2 linked regions of the Drosophila melanogaster genome follow. The protein of the gene in region 2 interacts with the protein of the main gene of each other region in a biochemical or structural test. Each region holds a gene or a part of one and is shown on either strand. Other genes may lie near its edges.

The links.
Region 1: of the proteins of CG30031 (region 2) and Rpn10, one has a biochemical effect on the other in vitro, tested with the Drosophila melanogaster proteins (one study listed by BioGRID).

Annotation. Positions count from the first base shown.
Region 1 is NT_037436.4:21,535,065-21,539,186, reverse strand, and holds Rpn10 (regulatory particle non-ATPase 10), read right to left. Parts: upstream 2,188-4,122; 5' UTR 2,075-2,187; coding exon 2,049-2,074; intron 1,948-2,048; coding exon 1,807-1,947; intron 1,747-1,806; coding exon 723-1,746; 3' UTR 605-722; downstream 1-604. Other genes in the region: COX8 (cytochrome c oxidase subunit 8), read left to right, coding at 20-115; ppk5 (pickpocket 5), read right to left, coding at 2,326-2,438, 2,990-3,575, 3,634-3,844, 3,897-4,122. UniProt on the Drosophila melanogaster protein: Binds and presumably selects ubiquitin-conjugates for destruction.
Region 2 is NT_033778.4:11,348,881-11,352,417, reverse strand, and holds CG30031 (uncharacterized protein), read right to left. Parts: upstream 1,608-3,537; 5' UTR 1,592-1,607; coding exon 830-1,591; 3' UTR 797-829; downstream 1-796. Other genes in the region: gammaTry (gammaTrypsin), read left to right, coding at 2,563-3,324.

The sequences.
Region 1 (4,122 bases), on a different chromosome or scaffold from region 2:
TTCACTTTTTGCATTACAGGAGAAGGTGATCCTCGGCGGCGGCATGTGCGCTGCATCCTTGTTCATTCCCGCCTGGGTGCTCTACCACATCCGGGACTACAAGGGCGACAAGTAATCTGCATACGAGACCACACATAGTTAATACGCTTGTAAAGTAGAGAGCATCAATATATCAATAGTGCCCCTGTTACGGGGAAATAAACTATAGTGCATTGAGCCACAAACTGATTTTATTATTTATCTATGGTCCAGCTGTAAATAAACGTGTGTCTGATATATGGTACTGACATTGTATAAAACGCAGTATGCCAGGTGTAAAGTGGACTCTAAAAGAGGCGGGCGGAATCCTTGATGTTTTAAATTCTTCCGTGTTTAACTTCAAAAACTGGCCAATGAGCTCAAGTTCATTTACTTTAAGTACAGAATCCAATTTATTTACTTTAACTAGAGTCGTGAGTGACAGATAGAAGAAGCATTATGCATATGCTTCCCTAATAAACATGCTTACCCGAGTCGACCGGCCACTATCAGGACTAGAAAATTATTTTTACTAGACATGCAGTGAATGAAAAGACCCTCGCAGTCAATTAAGTCAGCAGCAGATCGTGTGTATTTGTTTATATATTTTCACTTGAAGCATAATTTGAAAGACGGCTACAAATGATTTTAATGGGCATACAAATGCTTTAAACGAGCTTATTAGATATAATCATAGATGCGGTTTATTTTTTTTGCGAGTCCTTGCCGTCGCTCTTTTTGTCCTTGTCCTTGTTGAGTGAACCGACAGCATCGCGCACCGCCTCCGACTGGGGATCAACACCAGGCAGATTCTCCAGCACGCTCTGCAAGAAGGCCGGGTCTCCGATCACCTCCGAGTAATCCTCGTCCACGTCCATGGGAGCGTTTGCCTCGTCCGTCTTTGGGCGCTTTGCTTGCTGGGTAACAGAGTCGTCGGGAGCGTCCTGCATGGACATCTGCATAGCGAAGGCAATCTGTTCCTCCTCAGTCATGTTAGCAAAGTCCGGCAAGTTGTCCTCGGGTGTTTCGGTGGACAGGGCCAGGGCACGCTGCAGCATGGCCTCCTCGGTGTTGGCTTCGTTCTCTGCTCCGGCACTTTCTTCGTTTCCAGGTCCAGATCCCGAAACGCCGCCTCCGCCACCAGCATCTCCGCCAGTCGGTGGAGCCCCATCGGGATTGGCGCGACGTTGCTCGCTCTCCTGGCGCTGCCGTTGCTCCTCCATAGACACACGCAAGGCGAGAGCCAGTTCGGGGTCCTCGTTGGGATCTACACCGAATTCGAAGACGTTGCCGCCCAGGCCAGCTCCGCCCATGCCGTCCTCGCCCTGAATGATGGGTGACGACAGCAGGGCATCCGACAAAACTGATCCCCGAGGCACGCTGACCAAATGGGAGCCGGTGCCGTCCTTGCCATTAAGCGCGTTGATGAATGCTGTGAGAATCTCGTTGTTGTTGCCATGATCACCGAAGCTAACTATGTCTACGTTGACCTTCTCCTTCTTGAGGCGCTTGGCCTGCTTCACTAGATCGCCCTCCTCGTGATTGATGGGGGAGCCCACAAAGACCACGATGCGCATTTTGTGGTTCTTGCCTTGGCGATGCTTCAGCACCAGATGGGCAATTCGGATTCCGGTCAGGAGGTTTATCTCGCCCTTCGGCTGAACCAGATGCATCTTTGAGAAAATCCGTCCTGCATCGCTAGTAAGAGTGGCCAGCACTTCAACGGTGCTGAGGTATAAACAAAGACATAATGAATATGTGGCATGGGCACAAACGCTCCACACTCACTTGGACAGAGTCATCAGGCCCACATTGTTCTCGGGATTGGAACGCAGCTTGGTCAGGCAGACCAGATTGATGCCATCTCTCTGGACGATGAGACGAGTTGGAAAGTAGTCTCCGTTGCGCTGGAAGTCGCTGTTATCAAAGCTGGAAAAGAGCAAAATATGAGTGCCAGACTGTGTGCCGTTGCAAGCAGTACGGGAAAACTAGCGGAAGCTCTTCGTATTGCTCAAAAAACAATAATTTACCATATCATAGTACTCTCCAGAACCATTTTCGTATTTTTGCTTGTCACTTTGCCACTGAACTGTAATTCCCCAGGGTTGCCAGGTGCTGTGCTGCCTGAACTATCGGCATTAAAATATCGGATTTGTATGACCGTTGTGCGATATTTTTGTTTGATTATATTTACATATGTACATTCTTTTACATTTTTCTACACCAGTCCATTATTTAATGTTAGTCCTGTGGAAAAGTAATTTAGATTATGTAACACATTTAAAGTTGTTTATTTTATTTACTAATTCAGAATATTAATATAAGCAACAATGTTGAAACAAACAAAATGATGTATATTATCTCCGCAAGGAATATTACACTGAAACCAATCATTAGGCTCATGATTCCACCAGTTGACGCTGGAAAAGATACAAGGAAGATACAACGCTTTAGTCAACTGCCTTGAATTCTAAAACCATCTCTATATAAAAGTTGTATAATTTGTTTTTATCAATTTTGGATAAGCCTGAAGCTCTTTTGTATGGTACTAGGCAAAATCAAGCAAAAATATTTCCTTACGAGGTGACGAGTTACATACGTTATGTAACGACAAATAGTAATATTTGATTTGTATCAAATAAATTAACTCCTAAGTATGCAACTTTGAGCATAAAAATACCTTCTGATAAACGGTAATATTTGGATTTTTTAAGCAGATTGTGCATTACACACTCTCTTATTGTGCATTACACTCCGGGTGAACATCGTCACTACATGGACTGTTTTTATTAATCGACTTAAAATACCCCCTCGAGTTAAAAAAAAAAAAACATGGACGTTTATACTATCAGACGGACGGGCATCCCTGATAGACTCGGAATATTATCGGAATTGCAATTACTGTTCTAGTAACGATATAACAATAACGTAGAAAGTATTTAAGATCTAAAAAATTTAATAAATAGCATACCCATATATTCAGTGGGTCCGGTATACGAAGTCCTTACACTGCTCCTGAAATAGTTGTCGGTGTGAAAAAAGTTTACTACCGCCAAGTTTTTGCGCATGTATTCACTTGAGAAATTCGTCAAGTAGTTGGTCTGTGCCTTGACGTCCTTTTGGCTGAATGGAGTGGAAAATGCATCGGGAAAGAAAATTAGGTCGTGGCAGCTGGTCAGGCAAAACTCCTTGCACTGAGAGCTCTGTAGGTCGAAGATCTGGGACTCTGCCCGATTCAGACATTCAAAGTGGAACACATCGCACACTGAGGCGTTGGGATAAATTAGTGGTAGGTAGTAGGGAATACAACTGCAAAGTCTCAGGAAAAACATGGAGTCGCACTCGGCCTCGCAGTTTCGGCGCGTATAGTAGCGATAGAAGAGTAATTCCTGTTCGTCACTAAAAATACACTGGCGTTTCGTCCTGTGAATATTCCTTATAGAGGGTGTAGCCTCAACGTTTCTAGCTATGATGCGAAAACTCGTCTGGTGCCCAATCATCACAGGTAATCCTGACTCCTTCATGCGCGGCTGGTCTATCGGATTATACAGGAGTATCTGAAAGGTATCTGAAAGGTATAAGCTAGCTGGGCAAAAAGCGTACAACACAACTTACCTTAAAGCCCTGTCCGTTTGTGGAGGAGCAGAAATAGTCGTCCACGTGACCGTTGAGAACGATTTGCAGACCCATCGAGGTACCAACTCCAACTCCCGGACGCGGATAGTAACTTGAGGGTAGTCTCTGTGGGTAGCCAGATATTGGATCCCAGTCCACGGCGATATCTGCAAACCTGTCGGACGAAGTGAAGTCCCGAATGTAGGGCGATCTTTAAATGAGTAAGTAAGTTATTCGTTCTTTTGACCTTCGTTGAACCCTACTTGAACTTATAAAGATAATACGGATGCAAGACATTAAATATGCAGCACAATCCTTCATCCACGAAAGTTTCTCTAAAGATGTCAGTGCAGGGTATCCTTTGTTGATGAAATATGCAGGATACTATCAGATCTGCACACTTCTCGGAAACATCCAATATGAAATTTGAGAATGTTTCATTTCTGTGCTGAGTATCCATGTATTGCGAGAAATTTGACTCCTTATAGC
Region 2 (3,537 bases):
ATTCATTTCATTCATTTCATTCATTTCATTCATTTCATTCATTTCATTCATTTCATTCATTTCATTCATTTCATTCATTTCATTCATTTCATTCATTTCATATCATTTCATTCATTTCATTCATTTCATTCATTTCATTCATTTCATTCATTTCATTCATTTCATTCATTTCATTCATTTCATTCATTTCATTCATTTCATTCATTTCATTCATTTCATTCATTTCATTCATTTCATTCATTTCATTCATTTCATTCATTTCATTCATTTCATTCATTTCATTCATTTCATTCATTTCATTCATTTCATTCATTTCATTCATTTCATTCATTTCATTCATTTCATTCATTTCATTCATTTCATTCATTCATTTATATCATTCATTCATTTCATTCATATCATTCATTCATTTCATTCATTCATTTTCACTGTGGAGTTTCTATCGATATGCCAGAAGAAAGATGCTAGTTCGTTCACCCTGACACTAGCTGAGTAACGAGAGTATCTGATAGTCGGGGAACTCGAATATAGCATTCTCTTTTGTTAAAGAGTAAGTTCGGTTAACATAAGTTAAACTATGTAGTAATTGATCGAAAACGGGTACCTCAACAAATTACCTTTAATTTATTAAAATGATTTAAACCATTATTAACCTCCCGACAGAAATCTAGGTGTTTGTTATTTTTCAGGAGGTGAGAATACATTTTTTAGAAGGTTTCCTTTCCCATTTGCTGAATAAGACACATTACTGTTGAATCAGTAATAGGTCAAAACCACAATGAAACATAATAAAAGTAATATCCAAACTGAAATTTATTTCGCATACTTCTTAGGCATTGCTAATAACCCAGGAGCGGAGGGCAGCAACATCGGCATAGACACCGGGGTAGTTGGAGTAAGCGCATCCGTATCCCCAGGAGACAACACCGACGAGGACTCCGCCGGAGACCAGTGGGCCACCGGAGTCACCCTGGCAGGCATCCTTGCCGCTGGCAGCAGCGCAGATCATGGTGCTGCGGATCTGGCTACCGTATCCGTAGGTGGAGGAAGCACACTGGCTCTGGCTAACGATGTTCACGTTCACGTACTGCAGCTGGGAGGGGATGGAGCTGGATCCGTAGGAGAGAGTGCCCCATCCGGAGACGGAGGCCGCAGCGCCGTTGGCGGGGTTGGAGCTAGCCAGACCGATGGCCTTGATGGTGGAGCTGAAGGTCAGGGCGCCGTTGATCTTGATGATGGCAATGTCGTTGACCATGGTGTTGGCGTTGTAGCCCTCGTGGTTCTTGAAGGAGGACACAGAGAAGGTGACACCGCCGGAGCTCCAGTAGCTGGATCCAGCACGGATCTGCAGGACGGAAGCGGACACGGACTGCAGACAGTGAGCGGCGGTCACGATGACGTTGCTGGAGTAGATGGATCCACCGCAGGAGTGGCTTCCACTGCGCTGCAGGGAGATCTGCCAGGGGAAGCTGCTGATGGTGGTAGCAGAGCCGCCGACAATGCGGCCATCCAACTGAGGCAGGAGTCCCTCAGGGACGGTGCCTCCCAGGGCGCAGGCTACTGCAGACAACAAGATCACGAACTTCAGCATGGTGCGAATCCAATGAGTTGACTCTAAACTGGACACCCCTTTTATACGAGTTTCCAATCTGTTCTTGGCACTATAATCACAACTTTCAATTATTTTTATCACCTGCGTGTCAGGAAAACCCAAATAATACCGTTGAAGTGCCCAAATGATATTCCACAACTCAGAAGTCGCACGGCTCTTTATCACAAAAATAAATAAAAATGCAAGGAAAGTGTAACTACTTTTATATTACCTTTCTAAATAATTCGCGTTCTTTTTATTATATTTAATTTGCAAGGTATTGATGGGAACGTCTTTTTTCGACTTACATATTTAAATAGGGGATTAAACTTGTACAATAACATTGTGGAATTTTTTAAAAGTGGATGCTTGTCATTCAACTTGATTTAGTTCTAATCTAATCCAATTATTATACATAATTGTGTGCATAACTATTAATATTATTGGCTTTTTAAAAGAAAATAACTGTTTAGCATTTTAATTTGTGAATTTTGTAAAACCATTAATTTTAAGAACAATTTAATCGCCTTTGCATTAATTTTAATTACATGATTATGCGTTCAATTGCATTGTTTTCTAGTAATGCTCATGATGTTTCTCATAAGTTATATAATTTCTTTTAAAAAATTATGGTGTCTGTTTATTTAAAACACAATAAATTGTTTATAGAAATATAAATTGTTTTAATTTCGTTTAAACCCCGATATCTTTATGTGACTATCTTTTTCAAGCTATTTAAATGACCAACTTATTGCAAAAAAAAATCGTTTGGCATGAATCTGGACTTTGTATACGTATATACTTCTTATTCGCGAAATCTATTTGTCGGTCACACATTTAAAAAATATTTTGGATTTCCCTGACAAGCAAGTGATAAAAATAATTGAAATTTATGATAAGAGCGCCACAAAGAGATAGGTCCCTGTATAAAAGGGGTGTCCAGTTTAGAGTCAACTCATTGGATTCGCACCATGCTGAAGTTCGTGATCTTGTTGTCTGCAGTAGCCTGCGCCCTGGGAGGCACCGTCCCTGAGGGACTCCTGCCTCAGTTGGATGGCCGCATTGTCGGCGGCTCTGCTACCACCATCAGCAGCTTCCCCTGGCAGATCTCCCTGCAGCGCAGTGGAAGCCACTCCTGCGGTGGATCCATCTACTCCAGCAACGTCATCGTGACCGCCGCTCACTGTCTGCAGTCCGTGTCCGCTTCCGTCCTGCAGATCCGTGCTGGATCCAGCTACTGGAGCTCCGGCGGTGTCACCTTCTCTGTGTCCTCCTTCAAGAACCACGAGGGCTACAACGCCAACACCATGGTCAACGACATTGCCATCATCAAGATCAACGGCGCCCTGACCTTCAGCTCCACCATCAAGGCCATCGGTCTGGCTAGCTCCAACCCCGCCAACGGCGCTGCGGCCTCCGTCTCCGGATGGGGCACTCTCTCCTACGGATCCAGCTCCATCCCCTCCCAGCTGCAGTACGTGAACGTGAACATCGTTAGCCAGAGCCAGTGTGCTTCCTCCACCTACGGATACGGTAGCCAGATCCGCAGCACCATGATCTGCGCTGCTGCCAGCGGCAAGGATGCCTGCCAGGGTGACTCCGGTGGCCCACTGGTCTCCGGCGGAGTCCTCGTCGGTGTTGTCTCCTGGGGATACGGATGCGCTTACTCCAACTACCCCGGTGTCTATGCCGATGTTGCTGCCCTCCGCTCCTGGGTTATTAGCAATGCCTAAGAAGTATGCGAAATAAATTTCAGTTTGGATATTACTTTTATTATGTTTCATTGTGGTTTTGACCTATTACTGATTCAACAGTAATGTGTCTTATTCAGCAAATGGGAAAGGAAACCTTCTAAAAAATGTATTCTCACCTCCTGAAAAATAACAAACACCTAGATTTCTGTCGGGAGGTTAATAATGGTTTAAATCATTTTAATAAATTAAAGG